Sus scrofa: one gene and its partners. The protein of the gene in region 1 binds, or shares a complex with, the protein of each later gene. Links are inferred from orthologs where the notes say so. Each region holds a gene or a part of one and is shown in the gene's direction. Other genes may lie near its edges.

What was found. Proteins that work in one complex are often made in the same cells at the same time.
Region 2: the proteins of CLTC (region 1) and CLTB are in contact, whole or in part, in a cryo-EM structure (PDB 6SCT), measured with the Sus scrofa proteins. Residues at the interface, in NP_001139599.1 of Sus scrofa: Gln1291, Arg1293, Gly1294, Phe1296, Lys1326, Phe1327, Gln1354, Ala1355, His1356, Pro1382, Thr1383, Glu1413, Phe1414, Lys1415, Pro1416, Leu1417, Gln1444, Pro1446, Leu1447, Thr1473, Glu1474, Glu1475, Glu1503, Leu1504, Ile1505, Arg1508, Leu1533, Lys1535, Met1538, Lys1562; in XP_005661527.2 of Sus scrofa: Pro100, Ser102, Trp106, Gln110, Leu114, Ser121, Thr124, Glu125, Trp128, Arg129, Ala132, Asp135, Leu136, Trp139, Val147, Asn150, Lys151, Asn154, Arg155, Asp158, Tyr162, Glu191, Trp192, Lys194, Val195, Leu198, Cys199, Asp200, Phe201, Cys209.
Region 3: the proteins of CLTC (region 1) and GTSE1 are in contact, whole or in part, in a crystal structure (PDB 6QNP), measured with the Homo sapiens proteins. The link is inferred for Sus scrofa from reciprocal best matches to the Homo sapiens genes CLTC and GTSE1. Residues at the interface, in NP_004850.1 of Homo sapiens: Val50, Arg64, Pro65, Ile66, Ser67, Ala68, Leu82, Lys83, Ala84, Thr87, Gln89, Phe91, Asn92, Ile93, Lys96, Ser97, Lys98, Asp143, Arg144, His145, Trp164, Gln182, Leu183, Tyr184, Ser185, Arg188, Lys189, Val190, Ser191, Gln192; in NP_057510.5 of Homo sapiens: Ser686, Arg687, Pro688, Leu689, Ile690, Asp691, Leu692, Met693, Ser707, Pro708, Val709, Val710, Gly711, Gln712, Leu713, Ile714, Asp715, Leu716, Ser718.

Annotation. Positions count from the first base shown.
Region 1 is NC_010454.4:35,847,975-35,852,194, forward strand, and holds the start of CLTC (clathrin heavy chain 1), read left to right. Parts: upstream 1-1,406; coding exon 1,407-1,448; intron 1,449-4,220. UniProt on the Homo sapiens protein: Clathrin is the major protein of the polyhedral coat of coated pits and vesicles. Two different adapter protein complexes link the clathrin lattice either to the plasma membrane or to the trans-Golgi network.
Region 2 is NC_010444.4:81,463,565-81,467,728, forward strand, and holds the start of CLTB (clathrin light chain B), read left to right. Parts: upstream 1-1,322; 5' UTR 1,323-1,538; coding exon 1,539-1,725; intron 1,726-4,164. UniProt on the Homo sapiens protein: Clathrin is the major protein of the polyhedral coat of coated pits and vesicles.
Region 3 is NC_010447.5:3,243,838-3,248,080, reverse strand, and holds the start of GTSE1 (G2 and S phase-expressed protein 1), read left to right. Parts: upstream 1-1,401; 5' UTR 1,402-1,890; intron 1,891-2,343; 5' UTR 2,344-2,420; coding exon 2,421-2,439; intron 2,440-4,243. UniProt on the Homo sapiens protein: May be involved in p53-induced cell cycle arrest in G2/M phase by interfering with microtubule rearrangements that are required to enter mitosis. Overexpression delays G2/M phase progression.

The DNA of each region.
Region 1 (4,220 bases):
ATACCTTAGATACCTTAATGCTGTTAGAAGACGCGGTGCTCCCCCTTTGAAGCTCTTGCATCCCCAAACTGCTAATTTACAGTGTTCAGGTGGTCCCAGGGAAATAGACCAGTAATAGTTAATCCCTTTCTCCAAGCGTGTACATTAACCACACCGAGGTTTTTACATACTATCTTTAAGAAATCTTTGAGGCTCATTACTAGACATGACTTTAAAAAACCCTCCTACTACAATTTTAGTCCAATTCTTAAGTGTATTCATGACACTACAATTCTTCAACACGATTTATTACGAAGCTAGACCCATATACACGTCCGCCAAAATGTCCGCAGAAACGTTAAGAAAGGCTATCACAAGGCCAGCTTGAGATACTCATAAATGACTTTCACTGTCCTGTGAACCAACTGTTTAATATCCGAAGAGACTACTAGTTCTAGTTAGAACCCAAGCGTCAGCTTTTGCAAACGGCAGAAGGGCGTGCACAAGTGCAGAGAGGGTTTTTAAACCCCATTTCATACCCTCCTCCCTGGGAAGTAACAAACCACCCACCACATGAAACTAGGCGGGGGAGGAGCGCCGCAGCCGGCTGCCAGGAGCGCTCTGCAGGGAGGCGGTTTCCCTGAGTCACGGAGAGGGCGGGAGGCTGGGCCCATCTGCCCACGCCACGTCTTCTTCGTAAGGGGACTCGGTTTAAATAGGTAAGGCCCACAGGGGAAGGGACCAGCACCGCCGTTCCTCAAGGCGGCCCAACAGCCACCTCATTCCCAGGAGACGCCGCACTTCCCTAAAATTCGCGCTGCATTCTAGCAGTAAGCAGCCGACCTTTCCCGACCAGCATCACGTGCACCCGGAAGTACGTGGGTGGGACCTAAAGCGCCCACGGAAATGACGTTAGTCGCCCCTAGTCGCATGATGTGGCAAAATGCAAAAAAAAAGGGGAGGGTGGAGGGAAAGCAGGCGGCCGGGGAAAGTGATGAGGCTAAAAAAGTAGTCCCTTCGAGTCCTCTATTTACCACCGTGTCGTAGCAGTAAGTGAGGCTTTTAGCGCACTGCGCCCCAAATTCCTGCGCCTCCGCTGTATCGCGGCACTCCGTGGAGGGGTACATAAGGCGGAGGGGGTGAGGCAACTTGGGCGGAGTTCTGTCGCCAGGATCCCTCCGCAGGGCTCAGCCGTTTCCGGAGTCTGCGCTGCGCCCGGTTCCGCCATTGCGGCTCTCCCGGACCCTGGAGCCTCCGCCCCCGACCTGAGCTCTTTCGTCTGCCTGCCAGTTTCCTGCGTCCCCGGAGACTATCCTGCCGAGCCCAGCCTTCCCCCTCCCCCTTCTCCTCCTCTCCCTTGGAGAGCCTGGGCAGCCACTGCCCCGCAGCCCCAGTGACAGGAGGAGACCATACCCCCCGACAGCGCCATGGCCCAGATTCTGCCAATTCGTTTTCAGGAGCATCTTCAGGTGCGGTGGGGCCCTGGCTGGTGAAGGCTATGTAGAGAGGGCGGTAGGAAGGAAGAAGTTGGAGTCTGAGCCCAAGCAAAAAGGGTAGAATGGGGGGGTGGTAATCGGTTCCTGGGGTAGATGGAGAATGGGGGCACTATTTGGAAAGCTTAAAGGGTTAAATGATGTGGGGGCTTGGATGGAAAGGACGCGAGTCTGGGTACATAGGGGAGCGAGGCCAGGCCTGGATTTGAAGGCTTTTTCATCTTCGCTTCCTGGATGACAAGAACTGCGCATACTAACCTTTCCACCCCCCGGTTTTATCCAGTTCATTCATTTGGGTAGGTTGGGGGCGGGGGAAGGGTTCTCCCGCGTTTCTTGTAGAGCAAGAATTCTTATCCCCTAGGCCAGTGCAGGACTGTCACCTCCCATTGCTCTCTCTCTTACCATTTCCCCTTCGTGTCTGCACCCTGGAGTTGTGGCGCGGGTGGGTTGGGGAGGAGCAGCCTTTTTTCTTCCTCCCTCTGCGGCTCTCAACAGGAAAGGCACCTTCCCTGGGGTGGGGTGGGGGGGGGGGACGGCGGTGGCATGTCTCTCGCCTTCCCTGAGGCTGTAGGAACAGAGAAGGTCACTGAAGGAAAAGGAGGATAGAATGGGGGAACATATTTCTCAGGGCGGTGTCAGTCGCAGAGTGTGTGGGATCAAGTTTTCTAGGAGAACTCGGCTTTTCTCCCCTTTTTTGATTTCTCTGGGAATGGTGTGGCTTTTATTCCCTCTTTGCTTCTAGAAGGGAGAAAAAGAGTTGTCCAGAGGTTATCTTGGGGTCTGCTGGTCCAGCGGGTAGTTGGCTTGCCCTGAGTATCTCCCTCAGGATTGCATGGAATTGAATGAGCCCTGGAGATAGAGCACACCTGCCCGGAGATATGCAAGGTTATTTGGTCTGCCGTTGGCTTCCTTTAGTAGCTTCTAGAGTTCTTCCCCATGGTGCATTATCCTGTAGGCAACAGACTGTCTTATCTGGCAACATGCCCGTGGCGGGCCCAGGCAGGTGATCGTTGGAGGGCTTGACTGAATTAAGTCTCTTTTGAGCTTCCAATTTTCCTGGTTCTACTTTGGCTGAAATAATTTATCCATAAAATAGGCTTTCTTTCCAGTTACTTCCTTAAAGAGGCCTGCCTCAGTTCAGTCATTTGAAGGACTAATTTTGTAATGTTATTATTACAAAAGAGGTACCAGTGGAATGATGTGACACTAATACTAGTGACCTTTTGGACACTTTACTATTGAAGGCTATTTTATTTTCTACTTGCCATTGTTATACATAAAGGATTACTGTTAATAAAAAAGTTTAATATTCTGACTACCAACATAATAATTTTTTTACAGGTAACACTTGCATCACCAAGACTTCTTTTCCTTTAAGTCTTGAAATATAATCATCTCCTCAAAAAATGAGTTAAGGAATACACTTTATTCAGCTATCTTTGGTTATCAGATGTAGTAGAACACTATTTTACAAAAGGTTAAAAAACATTATGTGGAAAAATGGATACAGAAGTTGTTAATGCTCAATCCAAATTTTAGTTGCTGTGGTTTCTTCTCTTAAGGCGGGGGTGTAAGTGATTGTCAGGGGTTAGGAAAGTAATGTTTGAGGGGAAAACACAGCCTTGTCCTCAGACTAAAGTGCTTCTGGACTGTAATCTTCCTGCAGACAAGTTTGTAAAATCATACAGGAAAAAAAGCAGTTACGATTGTTTGTATTACAAAGCAGAGGTATAGCCCACCCACTAGTAAACCTTATTTCTTGACTAGTGGTGTTTTGAACAATAGTTTTTCATTTTTGTTAAAGAGGAGACAAGATTGTTGAATAATCCCAAAGATGGAACTCCAACCTTGTCACTAATTGAAGACAGATTTAATACGGGTCTAATTTCTAAGTGGTTCAGTGTTTTTGCAAATACTTAAGTGAAGCCATTTCCTTCTCAAATAATTTGAAGAATGTAAAGTAACCTCGCAAATGTATTTGAAGAATTTAGTCATTCATTTTTTTGAGCAATATATATGCCATGCTTAAGCATGCTAAGGTGACTGTATACTCCAGCTGATAATGATTGATTGCACAGGGCCCTAATCACCAACCTCTTCCAGGATAACGCCTGACTTCTCATTAGTGTCCCTTCCCTTTATAAAAATTAATAAGGATTATTTTAATTGGCATCTTAGGTTTTTGACTTCTGACTGCCTGCCAGTTTGCTAGGAGCAGAATACTTTCTGAAACACTTAGGATAAAAATTGGAAATTGGAATTGAGGAATTTGAGTGTAGAGTTAGCCTGTGAAAGCTTCACAAGGTGAACTGTTGGCCAGATAAAGCATCCATCAAGGCTCAGAACTGCATCAAGTGACTATTAAATAGTTGTGAAAGTTTTTTTCTTTTTGGGGATGTTTACGCTAATGGCAGTGAACAGATGAATGCCTGTTGAGCAAGATTTTGCTAGAATGCAGGTTCTGAAAAAAAATCCTAGGCTATGTATAATGTTGCCTGCAATTCTCATTTTTTGGTTCAGGTATTTTTATGCCGATTGATACATTCTGCTGTATTCCCAGGTTTCTTGAGTCTGCAATTAAAAATCTCCCTACCCTGTGATTTTCCCTTTGACTTGTAAATACAGACGTGGACTGTGTTGTGAATTCAATGGTAGGGGTCCTTGCTATGGTTATTTTGATTTGCAGAGAGAAAACAATGCTAAATATTACTGGGATATGTTGTATGCTTAACTGTACTATCTGGAAGA
Region 2 (4,164 bases), on another chromosome or scaffold:
AAGAGTGCTTGCAGTGGGTTTACTCAGTGTAGTGTTGCCAGAGCTACTGACTGAAGTCTCTGGGAATCAGACAAGATGTCCAGGGGAAGATCACAGTGGGAGCATAGCACTCACTAGCCCTTGTGTTTCTAACAAATGGAGTTGACATTTATGGCTGGTTTGTTCAACTAGGAAATGTTCAAAGTCTTTTCAGTTCCTGAGCCTGTAACTTGAAATGAGAAAGAAGTGTGAGATAGACAATGGTGAACACTATGCATGGACCAGGTTGTACAGGGCCTGAAATTTCTTTCTTTTCCATACTACTAATAAATGACCATATTCTCATCATCAGATTGAAAACTACATCAAAGTATTACTGTGCAGAAGTGAAATTGCCCTTCAGCCCAACCTTGCTTCCGCTCCCCCCTAAGGGAACCGCTACTCACAGCTTGAGGCACTTCTTTCCTTTCCCTCTTGCAGTTCATAGTTGACCTTCAAGTCTCAAATCAGAAGAAGAAAATCCCAAAGGCCAAATGTGATGGTGGTTCTGCACCCTGCTCCCCACCACCCCAGTGTTTAAATGTCAGAGCACCTCCCACACTGTGCTGTGACTGGACACTTGCCATCTGTTAGTCTCCTAGACTGTAATCTCCCCTTGGCCAAGACTGGATTTTATTATATTTTGGAGACTGTTTCCTGAAGACGACTGGCTGGAGGAGTGGCAGGCTGCCTGGATAAATCAGACCTGTCTTTCTTAGGCTGGTTCTTACTTAAGGAATATTTAAGGGGCCCAGCCTTCGAGTAGGGACCCAGTCAGGTCACATAAACTCTGCTGGTGTGAAGTGAAGCCTCTCCAATGAAGAGAAATGTATAAAAATTGGACGGAAGCAACGTGGCCTTGCGGGAAAGGCCCAGGACTTGCAGGAAAGATGCCACGAAGGCATGAGACTTAATGCCACCTCTCCAAGGCTCCTAATAATGGGATTCATAATATCCACCCAGTTTAGGAGAAGAAATTTTGCAGAATGAATCAGGAGTCAGGTTGCACAGCGACCACCCCCTCCGTGCTCTCGAGGTCCTCCAGGCTGCCTTCCTCTGGTGGCCTGTGCTCACTATAATCCCTCTGTCCAGTCCGCTTCACCTCTAGACCGGGCCAGAGCTGCACCCTGTCACCACTGGTGCCCTGGAAATGCGCGCTGCTTGGCGGGAGTAGGGAGCGCGGCCCCGGCCTTCGGGCCCCTCCGGCTGCGCCTCCGTCCTGCTGACGCCCTCCTGTGGCCGCTGCGAGGCGACCTCCGGCCGTCCTGCGGGCCCCCTCCCTCGGCCGGTGACATCACCGCATTCCCGTCCCGGCTCCTCCCGCTTGCCGCCGCAGTGACAGGGAAGCCGGGCCCGGTGGCAGAGAGGAAGTGCGGGGCCGCCGCGCCGAGCCCGTCCCCGCCGAGGCCGGCTCCCCCAGGCGGCTCGGGTGACAGTGTCGCGGCCGCCGGGCGCAGCGCGGGGCACGCGCCGGGCAGAGCCAAGGGCCAGGCGGACGCTTCAGCAGAGACGCGGGGAAAATGGCTGATGACTTTGGCTTCTTCTCGTCATCGGAGAGCGGGGCCCCTGAGGTTGCCGAGGAGGACCCGGCGGCTGCCTTCCTGGCCCAGCAGGAGAGTGAAATCGCGGGCATAGAGAATGACGAGGGCTTCGGGGCACCTGCCGGCAGCCAGGCGGCCCTCGCGCAGCCGGGACCAGCGAGTGGGGGTGAGTCAGCGCGGTAGCCTGGGGACTGGGGCGGGGGGGGGGTGCTGCAGCTCGCACCCGGGGTACCGGTCTCGGGGCCCTGCGGTCGAGTGAAGAGGGCCTGCTATGTATGGCCAGCCGGGAGCAGGCCTGGGACTGTGTGTACCTGAGTGGACCTGGAAGAAATGGGGGAGGGGAGTCTTGTGGAGATTCCCCCATCTGAGGGCCCCCCTGGAGCTGTGGATCTGGTGGCTCCCAGGATAGAAATTCAGCGTGACATTTCATCCCCAAGCCAACTCTGCTACTGCCCAGCTCTGGAATCCAACACTGCCCAGCCCTGAGACTCTCTCCTGAGCGTCCCAGGAGGCTGGCTGGCCCAGGCTGAGCCCTGCAGTTGTGGGCAGAACCCAAGACCTCCCTGCCCCTCAGACTTAGCTCCTTCCTACGGCTGGGAGAGCAGGGGCACTGGCTGAGAACTCACAAACCTTCCCTGGGGACCACCTGCCATCCTGCAGTCATTGATCTTGGCATTTGACTTACATTTAATCATTTCATGTACATTCTTAAACCCATCTCAGAGATGGCAAAACTGAGGCTCAAAAGGTACACTACTGAAACAACTAGTAAGTGGCAGAGAAAGGACTCTAAATCTATTTCTTTCAGACTCTAAGCCCTTCCCACCTGACCACATTGTCTTCCAGATGCCTGGCTCTGGATTAGACCCCAGCATGGGGGCAGGGAGGTGGGGGTGTGGGGGGGTTTCAGTCAAATGTGGTCCTGTCCTCCTGGGGTTTGTAACTTAGTGGTTGTCCAAAGGTGGCCCAGGGCTATTGTGGATAGCTTCAGACTCAGGGTTTGGAGCCTGATCTTTGCACTAGCATGTTCATCAACAATATCCCTGCTCTGGTTCTGCTTGAAAGAACAATTTCTTGAAGTGTTTAGTAAAAAAGTAGACATCACCTTCATGGGTGAATCCCAAACAGCCTTTGCTTCCTCTTAATGTTGTCATTTTAGTGGGGGTTTATCAGCCTGTTGGAATAAACGGTAGCTCATCTGTTTTTAAAAACTGCTTACAAGAAAGTCTCCTTAGAGTCATGTTTGCATTCATTCAACATTTACTGAGCACCTACTATTGGCCAGGCCCAGTGGGGATGCAGATATGAATAAGATAGTTCCTGGGGCTAGAGGAACTGGGAGCATCTCTGTATTTCCTTGGCACAAAAAACCTAACAAGTCTTTTTTAACATATAAGAAACCAGAGGCCCAGAGATCTGAGTATCTTTCACAAAGTCGCACAGCCATGAGTGACAGATCTGGGACTTGATTCCAGGCCTCCCAACTCTGGGCTCCATGCTCTTTCAAATGCTATGACAGTCACCCTGGGAGGTGATAGGATATGAAGGTAGGGAGGGGGAGTCTTTTGCTACTCAAACAGGTCAGCTGTGGGGGTCATCTGGAGAAACAGCAACTCCTAATATCTCAGTATGGACCCTTATACATCCCAGGGAATTTCTAGGAAATGCGGGCCGACGTTCATACACCGGTATTCATTGGTCCACACCTCCCCCTTGAGACCACCAGCTTCCCCACTCTGGTTGGCCTGGGCGAGGCCTTGCTGGGAGAGCCCATGTTAGAACCACCCCAGAGAGAAGAAGGTAGAAGTCAGGTGGAAGGCAGCCGGAGGCAGCTGGGCGTTAAGCAGGCTGGGACCTCTCCCAGGAAAGTGGGACTCCAAGGTTTACAGCCTGGATGAGAAGTTCCCTTTCTGGCAGGGGTAGTGGTGCACTGATTGGCCCCAGGCCTGGTGGCAAGGGGAGAAGCAGGGACACCGCCCTCTCTGGGTCTCCCAGATGCACGACCACTGAAAACTGCAAAGGTCCAGCTGCTCTGCTGAGCAGCGCCCAGCGATAGGGGAGGTGTTATGGGATGGCAGCTCAATAGATGGGTAGGCAGGATGGAATTGATCTGATCCCCTAAGCCTAGATGCTACTGAGCAAGTTATCCCCCCAGACCCATGCTGAGTGCCAGAGGCCTGGCTGAGATGCAGAAAATGTGCCTCAGGCTGCTGGGAGCTGGGGCGGAAGCTGACTTCAGCAGCCAGCACCACTCATCACTTCTGAGTCTCATCTCGGAAATGACGCCCCTGCGCTGAGTGCCCTGATTTTGGGCCCCCAGCTATCCCTTGGGGAATGGTGTTTGGTGTAGACCTGAGCCTGAGCTCCTTTGAGTCTTCTGGGGCTGGAACTGTGGCCAGCCCGAGCAATGGATACTATGTTTCCATTCATCAGCCTTGGGAAGGGCCCAGGAGGTTTACATTTTCACACCCAGATTTCTATGAGCCAGCCCTGGCTCTGCCCTTGACTTGCCCAGTCATTTTCCGGCAAGCCCATTTCCCCTGATGGGCCTCAGTAAGCTCCCAGGAATGTTCTGGACCCTGTCTGTCCCTGTTCTGAAAGAGGT
Region 3 (4,243 bases), on another chromosome or scaffold:
CAAGCCGAATCTGCAATCTACACCACAGCTCACAGCAACACTGGATCCTTAACCCACTGAGCAAAGCCAGGGATCGAACCTGCAACCTCATGGTTCCTAGTTGGATTCGTTTCCACGGTGCCATGATGGGACCTCCCTCAGTAGGATCTTAAGAGAGGTGCTGTTTCACCTCAGGGGCTAGGGGCACATCCCAAGGGGGAGCCTGCCTTCCCATCCTGAGCTGTCCCCTCCTGCCAGTTCTCAGGACAGAGCCTGCCCACACCCCACCTGTCCTTCCTTCTCCTGGTTCCAAGCAAGATACGACTTGGCCAGGGTATCAGGAACCCTGGTCCCCTCCTCTGGGAAGGCCTCTGTCCCCCCAGTGCAGGCTGGTGCCCCACAGCCCTTGGCACCTGCCCTTGCTATTGCATCTTTCTCGCCGGCTGGACTGCTTGGGGTCAGGGACAGCATATGTGTCCCAGCCTCACCCAGCACAGAGCCTGCACTGACTATCTGTCAGGGACCCATGATGGATACGTGATCCCATGAACAAGTGCAGGAAAACATGAAGCATAATCCAACCAGGCAGGGAGAACTGAGTCTACAGTGGATGGAAAAGAGGAGGCCCAGAGGAGAGATGGATGAAGGTACAGCTCAGAGTTAGCAGCAGCAAGTTATTGATAATTGGGGTACTCACTGAGCACGTCCCACGTGCTGATATGATGCAGGGGGAGGAGCATCGGGAGTGGGTGTCTGGGGGCCTTCACCCCAGCAGATGCCCACAGGGTCGTAGGAATCCGACATCTAGGCTAACTGCCCTTGGGTCTAGTACCTTCTGGGTCCCTGCTGCAGTGGCCCTGTGGTCACGACCAGGCAGGCCTGGGCCTTGGGATCATGGATTGAGTCCAGGTTCTGGCAGGCAGGGAGAAGCCTGGAGTGAAGGCAGCCTGCCTGAAGCTGAGCAGGACCCCAGAGGGGCCAGCAGGGGACAATCTGACCTGGCACCCTCCTTCAAGCCCCTCTCTCTGTCTAGGCCCGAAGTCAGGACTCCTGTCAGGGCTCCTGGACGTCCCTACTCCTGGAGCCAATAAATACTCTTTCTAAAGCCAACTTGAAGCTGATTTTCTATTACTTGTAACCCGAGAGCTCTGGACCAAGACCTGCCGCTGGGATTTATACCTGGGTCTGTCTGGCCCCCTCTCTCTTCTCCAGTTAAGCAGGGTCCTGAGCAAAAGATGATGAAACTCAGAAGGGAGCCCATGGACAGAGGCCCAGGGAGAATCCAGGAGGACCCAGCACATCAGAATGCAGCGGGGTGGGGGGCGAGGCAAAGAGCAAGGCCCAGGACTGCAGGGGGAGCCCTTGGATAGACTGGTCAAGGATTCAGGACAAGACAAAGCGCGGATGAAGGCCATGTTCAGGGCCTAAACACGTTCTCCGGGTTCAAGGGCACAAACTGGGGTGTCTGGTCACCCGGTGTCACCTGGGCACTCTTCCGGGCAGGGAACCGGTCTCCTTGCTCTGTTAAGAACTTGGTAATGCTTTACAAAGCAGGTGGGAGCACCTATTTCGTTTGGTCTTCACATCAACACCCTACGATAGGAATTTGATTTTTATTTAAGGATGAAGATCTGGTCCTGATGCCTGGTCTTCTGGGACATACGGGGTGCAAGCTCTAAGAGACCTCGCCCCACGTCAGCTCCACCGCAAGCCTGGGACGAACCTCAGGCACGATCAGCGCGCCGATGCAGTGCGCATGCGTCCTGTGCCCGCCTCCCAGGGCTCTGACTACAACCCCCAGCATGCACCGGGCGCCGAGACCTTTCAAACTAGCCAATCCTCAGCCCGCGCCGCAGTTGCCGCGGCGCGTTTAAACCCGGGGCGGAGGCGCGTCGGCCGGGACCGCTCCGGGTGAGGGGGCGCGGGGGCGCGGGCGAGGCCCGGGGCGCAGGTCGGGGGACGTCGAGCGGGGGGCTCATGTGGCGGGGATCCCAGGCTCCCCTCGCGCGCTCCGTCGGGGCTGCAGCGAGTACGGAGCCGCCCCGGGGGCAAACCGCAGCCCCCAGCAGTCGGCCTGGGGGCTGGAATTCGGTCGTGCGGGTCCGGGGCGTTCAGGCCTGCCTCGGCCGGCGCCGCGCCGGAGCACCCGGCGTGGAGGCGCGCGGGCGCTGGGGTGCGTCCCGGAGGGTCTCGGGCTGCGCCTGAGGTGGCCTCTGCCGCCCCCGCTCCCTGGCCCGCCGCGGCCGCCAGCTCAGCTCCCTCCGCGCGGCCCGTGCTGCTCGTGCTGCAGGGCTTCTCTGGGGCTGGAGGAAGCCGGGGCTCGGCTCTGCCACCCGCTCACCCTCTGGCCCGCTCGTCCCGCAGTGACTTCTGACAGCTCTCGCCGCGGCGGGAGGAGCCGGCAGCGACGCGCCTTCGGCCAGCCAGGCCCAGCGGCGGCGATGGAGGTTCCCGAGGACGGTACGTTTTGTGACTGCAGCGCTGTTGTTCGGGGAGCTCGGGGGAGATGCAGGTCGGTTTAACGCTCTTGGGACAACTTACTCGTTTATTCATTCAGTGCTCGTCCTGTGCTCTGCACCCCTGCGATTCCTGCTCCCTGCCTTCAAGGAGTTTGCATCCGTCTACTTTTTTTTTTTTTTGGCCCTGCCCGTAGCATGTGGAAGTTCCTGGCTCAGGGCTCCAGACCCCAGCCGCAGGAGTGACAATGAGGGATCCTTAACCCCTAGGCCACAAGGGAAATCCCGTCCAACGTCTTTATTTTCCGGTTTTCTACATTCCCTTTGCTCCCAGTTTCAGCTTCATAGCCGAGATTCTTTGCGATTTTATTCACCGCAGGATCCTCAGTGCCTGGCCCGTGGTGGGTCCTCAGCTGTATTTGTGGACTTGAATTTGATGTTGCCTTTTCGCGCTCCTGCTGGTTCCCTTTTCGAAGACTTGCTTAGGATCGCCGTCGCTGCCTTAGGGAGAGAGCCTGGCCTGTGGCTCTGCTGTCTTGTTCTGTCCCTGTCTGATTTGAGTGTGGCGGTCAGAGCACAGCCTCACCAAAGGAGTTAAGGACCGTACCCTCTTTCTCTGCTGAAGGGCGGGGACATCCTTCTAGCCTTTGTTCTTCGCAGCATTCCCCCCCCCCCCCCCGGCGTGTAGACTGGGTATCCCAGCATCCTTAATGCCTCCATTTTGCAGAAACCCCCCCAGAGGCCGCCAGCCATCGGCGCTGCTTCATCAGATCTAGAACGGTCTTTGCTGCCACATCCCTCTCCTTCCGCTGCCCTCTCTGGCCCCTCCGCCTGGCATGCTGAATCCCCTTGGGGACCCCAGCCTCTCTCACCCTCCCTTTGCATCCTGACTTTTTTGCCTGTCCATCAGCGCAGGCCCATCCCTGACACATGGATGGGTCCTGTTATCTGACTTGTCCCCGTAGTCTCTGCTCCCTCTCCACTGCTCTGTGCCTCATTCAGAGCCAGGCTTCAAGAAGGTTCTCTGTTTCCCCGTGTTTTCCCATCCTCAGCCCCCACAGCTTCCTCCGCCCCCGTCCTCTGGGAAAGCTGCCTTGTCAGTGCCTGAGGACAGCCGGCTTGTCATTTTTCAACGTCTCATTACCTCTTGACCTTCTCGCCTTCTGGAAGCGTCCCTTGCTTGCCTTCTGAGGCGTCTTGCTTTTCCTCCGGCCTCCCTGGCTGGTGTATCCATCACTGTGCCCTTCTCCGGCTCTCCCAGCTTCTGAAGCTGATTCCGCAGGACCTGGTTGGGGGTCTCTCTGTATTCCACCCCCCACCCCCAGGTCCTCAGTGGTGCTGTGGCTGTAAATCCCGTCCTCCCTCAGGCGGTGCCCACATTTTGTCTTGAGCCAAACCTCTCCTCTGAGCGCTGGACGTGTACGTTCACCTGCCTACCTGGCATCAGCCGCCCGAGTGTCTCCCAGCTCTTCCTTGGCACGTCCCCCCTCCCACCTCCTTCCGAGCCGTTTCTTTGTCTTTCTCAAGGAAGTGAGCTGCCCCTCCAGTGGCAGCTGCCACCGCCACCCGGTCTTCCGTCACTGTCGTTTCCACTTTCAGAGTAGACCTTCCTCTTTCCAGCGCCACTCAGATGCCGCCACCGTGGTCTCAGCCGTAGCAGCTCTCCTCCACCTCCCCAGTATGCTTTGCGCTTTGGCCCATGTGTCCATTTGTAATTTCAGTGGATAACGCTTCTTTTCAGATACACTGTACGCAGCCACCAGGGTAGCTTTTTAAAAATAAAAGTTAGAGCATAAACTCTTCTGCTA